2 linked regions of the Oryctolagus cuniculus genome follow. The protein of the gene in region 1 binds, or shares a complex with, the protein of each later gene. Links are inferred from orthologs where the notes say so. Each region holds a gene or a part of one and is shown in the gene's direction. Other genes may lie near its edges. The genes, in order: TUBGCP5 and TUBG2.

Region 1 (3,820 bases):
GCCGGCCGTGGCAGCCATTTGGGGGGTGAACCAATGGAAAAGGAAGACCTTTCTCTCTATCTCACTGTCTAACTCGGCCTGTCAAAAATAAATAAATAAATATAGAATAGACACTTGTTTCACTAAAACTGACAGTGTACAAAACCTGGTGTTGATGGAGAATCCTGCCTTATGAATTGAAAACATCTTTGTCACTTCTCTCCATCCAGGCTGGTGGAATACCTACAGGCTATGAGAAATTTTTTCTTAATGGAAGGTGGAGATACCATGTATGACTTTTACACGTCGATTTTTGATAAAATACGAGAAAAGGAAACCTGGCAGAATGTGTCTTTTCTTAATGTTCAGCTCCAGGAAGCAGTAGGACAACGTTATCCTGAAGATAGTTCACGGTAAAATTAAGGAGATGCCTTTTTATTAAAACAGTATAAAATTAACCATGTGCCAGGAAATATCTGAATCTTTACATTTATTATCCTTCTTAATCTTGACACTAGCCCTCTGAGGTCTGCTAATATTATTTTATATATTAGAAAGTTGAGACAGTGAGTACCCAAGCGCCTCACCTACAAAACAAAAGACCATCAGATGGAACCACCCAGCCTCTTGGGGTCTATAGGCCCCACCGTGTGCTTGGAGTCTGTGCTTCTCTCTTAGCTCCCACACATCTTTGGTGCTAAGTCTCCCTGGAGAATGCTCCCCAGCACCATCTCTTAATACCTCTATGACCATGGGAGTCAATCCCCTTGGTAACACCCATGAGGCTTTTTTGAGGATTACGTGAGTAGTGCCTCAGTAGTGCCTGGTGCATGGACACCCCATGTGCTGTGTTAGGTACTCTCCTTTTGAGAATCATATTCAGACTTGCTTCAGGAATGCATGGGGGAAAACAAAGTGTGCCACTTGTGCCACAGATGCAGCACCCCACACACACACCCTGTGCTCACCTGGGTCTGACTCTGGCAGCTGCTGCACGTACCACATGCATGGCTCCCTCCTGCCTCCTCAAACGCGAGCAGAAGGCTCTGTCTGCTGAGCCTCTTTGATTTTATCAGAATTAAGCTCCCAGCCTATTACTGCTATTTCTTCTCTGTCTTTGCCTTTTTTTTTTTTTATTAAGAATTGCCTTTGTTAGTATGTCTTCTATAGCTAAACCCATTGTCTGAAATTTTTGCCATTTTTCCTTATTTTGAAAGTCAAATGTCTGTTCTGAAATAGATGCTAGAAAACATAACCTTAGTTAACAAATTAGCATTCTTTGAAATCCAGAATACTTTTGGAATATTATGTAAATAAATGTTAAAAAGCTAATTGTTTTTAAAAGGCTGTTTTATATAAGCATAGTGCCATCATAAACTAAAATTGAAATTTCTTTATTTAGTCTGTCTATATCTTTTGAAAACGTTGACACCACGAAGAAGAAGCTCCCTGTTCATATCTTAGATGGTTTGACCCTGAGCTACAAGGTGTGTGCTGAAATTCTTTTACAGATGCTGTTTTCTATTCTAAAGCAGACAATGGTGGATTACTTTCTCTTCTAATTTTCTGGTTTTGTTTTCATAGGTTCCTTGGCCTGTGGACATTGTTATAAGTTTGGAATGTCAAAAAATTTATAATCAGGTGTTCCTGCTCCTATTGCAAATAAAGTGGGCAAAATATAGTCTGGATGTTTTACTATTTGGTGGTAAGATTTGTTTTCAACAGATAAATTGCAATTTAATCTTAGCCCTGAAAAAAAGAGATTGGTGGTCTTTGACCATTTTTTATGTGTACACAAATACCAAAATTTATAGCAAACACCTGATATCTGAATGGAATATTGGAATGTTTTATGGATAATCTGAAATACAGTGCTTTGAGTGAGAATTCAGCCAGAATAAACACTTAGGTTATTCAAAAAATATAGTAAGTGTATAGAACTCCTGACTCATATTTTTCACGAGAGTGATTCCAAAGGTGACATGGGTCCTTCATGCTCCCTTTTCCCAAGGCGCTGAGGTCAGTCCTTGACGTAGTGCCAAAGCCTGGCCCCCAGAATTCCCACCATGTGCAGCAGGCAGCCGGGCTCGAGGCCGTGCTCTCTCTACCACTTTTTTCAATCTCCTACAGAGTTGGCTAGTGCTGCTCAAAAACCGCCGCTCCAGGAAGGCCTTCTGGGTGAACAAGACACAGCTGCACCGTTTGGACCGCAGAAGGAGCCGCCAGTGAGGCAGCAGATCCACCGCATGTTCCTCCTGAGAGTGAAGCTTATGCATTTTGTGAACAGCTTACACAACTACATCATGACCAGGGTTTGTGTCTGCCTCTACCTCAGTTCTGTATCCAACAGTTGTTCATAGCAAAGTACTTTTTGCATTTATAGAAGTGCACAGGGGCTGGCGCCGTGGCTCACTAGGCTAATCCTCTGCCTTGCGGCGCCGGCACACGAGGTTCTAGTCCCGGTCGGGGCGCCGGTTTCTGTCCCGGTTGCCCCTCCTCCAGGCCAGCTCTCTGCTGTGGCCAGGGAGTGCAGTGGAGGATGACCCAAGTGCTTGGGCCCTGCACCCCATGGGAGACAGGAGAAGCACCTGGCTCCTGCCATTGGATCAGCGCGGTGCGCCGGCCGTGGCGGCCATTGGAGGGTGAACCAACGGCAAAGGAAGACCTTTCTCTCTGTCTCTCTGTCTCACTGTTCACTCTGCCTGTCAAAAAAGAAAAAGAAAAAGAGAAAAAAAAAAAATAAGTGCACAGGAACTCATAGATTCATGTAGATGGTGGAGATGGGACGTAGAAGATCTGGTATTTGGCACAGAGATTAAGACGCTACTTGGGATGCCCTCATCCCATATCAGAGTGCCTGGATTTGAGTCCGACTCCACTCCCAGTTCCAGCTTCCTGCTAACACGTGTGTTCCAGGGAGCCAGCAGGTAATGACTCGAGTGCTTGAGTCTCTGCCCTCAGTGTGGGAGACCCGCATTGAGCCCCATGCTCTTGACTGTGGCCTGCCTGACTCCAGCAAGTACAGGCACTTGGGGGTGAACCAGCAAAAGGAAGATCTTTCTGTGTTTTGTCTTTTTCTCTCTCTCTGTCTCTCGGCTGCCTTCCAAATATATAAATATGGTTTTTTAACAAGAATGCTCAAGGGGCTAGCGCCATGGCACAGTAGGTTAATCCTCCACTTGTGGCGCCAGCATCCCATTTGGGCGCCGGTTCTAGTCCCGGTTGCCCCTCTTCTGATCCAGCTCTCTGCTATGGCCTGGGAAGACAGTAGAGGATGGCCCAAGTCCTTGGGCCCCTGCACCTGCATGGGAGACCTGGAGGAAGCACCTGGCTCCTGGCTTCAGATTGGCTCAGCTCTGGCTGTTGCAACCATCTGGGGAGTAAACCAACAGAGGGAAGACCTTTCTCTCTGTCTCTCCCTCTCACTGTTTATAATTCTACCTCTCAAATAAATAAATAAAATCTTTTTTTAAAAAAAAAAAGAATGCTCAAGATGAGAACTTTTTTTTTTTTAAGATTTGTGTATTTATTTGAAATAGTAACAGTGGTTTACTCCCCATATGGCCACAGGGGCCCAAGTACTTGGGTTATCTTCTGCTGCTTTCTCAGGCCATAAAAGGGAAGTTAGATTGGAAGTAGAGTAGCCAGGACACAAATTGGTGCCCGTAAGGAATGCCTGCATTGCAGGCAGTGCCTTTACCCACTGTGCCACAATGCTGGCCCCAAGATGAGAATGTTTAAAAGTTTTTTGTTGTTTGTTTTTTTAATCATAAAACATCCTATCGGGGAGAAATGATTGAAAGGCAGAGCAACAGGCCAAGGGGGAAAAGGAGAAAGAGCT
Region 2 (2,519 bases), on another chromosome or scaffold:
GCCTACCCAGTCAAGGTCAGCTTCCTTTGTCATATTTCAGGTTAACAGCGTCTTTTTTCTGTTCTGTATTCAATGTCAGCCTCCCTCAACTAGGCTGGAGGCCTGGCGAGGGCAAGACCGTGCCCGTTTTCACTCTGTGGTCACTCCAGACCCAGGCACAAAGTGTGGCACAGAGGACACTCACAGATTTGTTTACTGCCCTGCACTGTCCAGAGGGACTCATAATACCCCCAAAGAATGCTTTCCTTGTAAACTAGCAAAGCTACTGACTGCCTTTACAGCTTAGCAGGTGCTCAGCCAATATTTCATGTCTATGCCACCCTGTCTGTCCCCTCCAGGTGGTGCTGGACAACACAGCCCTGAACCGGATAGCCACGGACCGCCTGCACATCCAGAACCCATCCTTCTCCCAGATCAACCAGCTGGTGAGCCCACCTCTGCACTCCTTCCCACTGGAAGTCCTCCCTGAGGGAGGACTGTCGGGGGAGGGGGGAGGGGTCCTACCCAGGCCAGGCCCATGACACAGCACCCCTGTCCCCAGGTGTCCACCATCATGTCAGCCAGCACCACCACCCTGCGCTACCCCGGCTACATGAACAACGACCTCATCGGCCTCATCGCCTCGCTCATCCCCACGCCCCGGCTCCACTTCCTCATGACCGGCTACACCCCCCTCACCACGGACCAGTCAGTAAGAGCAGCCCTCAGTGTCCCGGGCCAGCTGGCCCTGACCTGGCCTCTCCTCTCCTCGCTGCCCTGGCAGCTGCCCATTGCAGCCCCCAGAGGCCTTGCACTCAGGCACTGGCAGAGCGTGGGACTGTCTCGCTGCCTCGTCTCCACCTTCCCTCTGCCCTGGGCTCCTGCAGGCCCCGTGGCGTGGGGAGCGCTGTTGGCTCCTGCACGAGGACATGTCTGTGAGCTGACGCTGGTCCTGCCTGAGAGGCCGCACTGCTCCAAGTCTGCCGGGGTGTGCTGGCTCCTCTGCATCCCTGCCCGGTGCCCCGAGTGCTGGTCTGGCCCCTGTGACCGCTATCCCACCCCTCAGGTGGCCAGCGTGAGGAAGACCACGGTCCTGGACGTCATGCGGCGGCTGCTGCAGCCCAAGAACGTGATGGTGTCCACAGGCCGGGACCGCCAGACCAACCACTGCTACATCGCCATCCTCAACATCATCCAGGGGGAGGTGGACCCCACCCAGGTAGGGGAGGCCCCTTCCTCCTAGCCTGAAGCCGCAGGGGCACAGAGAGGCTGCCACCTCCCACTGTGCCCACCCAGGTCCACAAGAGCCTGCAGAGGATCCGGGAACGGAAGTTGGCCAACTTCATCCCCTGGGGCCCAGCCAGCATCCAGGTGGCCCTGTCGAGGAAGTCTCCCTACCTGCCCTCAGCCCACCGGGTCAGCGGGCTCATGATGGCCAACCACACCAGCATCTCCTCCGTGAGTCTGGCCATCCTCTGTTCCACCCTCTGCCTTCCCCCAGTCACTTCTCAACCCCTCCCCGTCCTACGCTGGCCCCTCTCCTGGAGTTTTCCGTTTCTTCCAGCTCTTCGAAAGTTCCTGCCAGCAGTACGACAAGCTGTGGAAGCGGGGAGCCTTTCTGGAGCAGTTCCGCAAGGAGGACATCTTCAAGGACAACTTCGACGAGATGGACAGGTCCAGGGAGGTTGTGCAGGAGCTCATCGACGAGTACCACGCAGCCACCCGGCCGGACTACATCTCCTGGGGCACCCAGGAGCAGTGACTTCCCTTCCTGTTCCTCTTCCCGAGTGGGAAACACAGCCTCCATCCCTGGTTCCGCTGACCCAACCCTGCCCGTCAGCCTCTCTGGGTCATCTCCAGCCCAGGAGCTGGCCTACTTCCTCCCTTCTGTGCCCTGACCCTTGATATGCTTGTTCAGCTCTAATAAAGTAATAAAGCATGCTTGTGAGCATAGGCAGGGCTTGAGCGGAACCTGGGGGATGGTGAAGGGATGTCCAGTGTCCAGGCACGCGATGGGAAGGTGGCCCCTGCCTGCTCTAGTCCAGGTCTGTGTCCAGGGTTTCCACTGGTGTCCTTTTTTATTTATTTATTTTTATTTTTTGACAGGCAGAGTGGACAGTGAGAGAGAGAGACAGAGAGAAAGGTCTTCCTTTGCTGTTGGTTCACCCTCCAATGGCCCCCGCGGCTGGTGCGCTGTGGCCGGCGCACCGCGCTGATCCGAAGCCAGGAGCCAGGTGCTTCTCCTGGTCTCCCATGGGGTGCAGGGCCCAAGCACTTGGGCCATCCTCCACTGCCTTCCCTGGCCACAGCAGAGAGCTGTCCTGGAAGAGGGGCAACCGGGACAGAATCCGGCACCCCGACCGGGACTAGAACCCGGTGTGCCGGCGCCGCAAGGCGGAGGATTAGCCTAGTGAGCCGTGGCACCGGCCTCCACTGGTGTCCTTTACCTTGAGTCTAGCTGTCTTACTGGAGTCAGCCCTTCTCTCAAAATTACAGAGGATTTCTGGGGTCTTCTCTCTCCCCCGTGCCCACGCTGTTGC

Evidence for each region.
Region 2: TUBGCP5 (region 1) and TUBG2 share a complex: the UniProt entries of both Homo sapiens proteins name them as parts of the gamma-tubulin ring complex. The link is inferred for Oryctolagus cuniculus from reciprocal best matches to the Homo sapiens genes TUBGCP5 and TUBG2.

Annotation. Positions count from the first base shown.
Region 1 is NC_091443.1:17,643,038-17,646,857, reverse strand, and holds part of TUBGCP5 (gamma-tubulin complex component 5), read left to right. Parts: intron 1-209; coding exon 210-392; intron 393-1,381; coding exon 1,382-1,466; intron 1,467-1,563; coding exon 1,564-1,684; intron 1,685-2,109; coding exon 2,110-2,291; intron 2,292-3,820. UniProt on the Homo sapiens protein: Component of the gamma-tubulin ring complex (gTuRC) which mediates microtubule nucleation.
Region 2 is NC_091448.1:20,228,811-20,231,329, reverse strand, and holds the end of TUBG2 (tubulin gamma-2 chain), read left to right. Parts: intron 1-338; coding exon 339-425; intron 426-541; coding exon 542-691; intron 692-1,045; coding exon 1,046-1,198; intron 1,199-1,275; coding exon 1,276-1,437; intron 1,438-1,543; coding exon 1,544-1,741; 3' UTR 1,742-1,920; downstream 1,921-2,519. UniProt on the Homo sapiens protein: Tubulin is the major constituent of microtubules, protein filaments consisting of alpha- and beta-tubulin heterodimers. Gamma-tubulin is a key component of the gamma-tubulin ring complex (gTuRC) which mediates microtubule nucleation.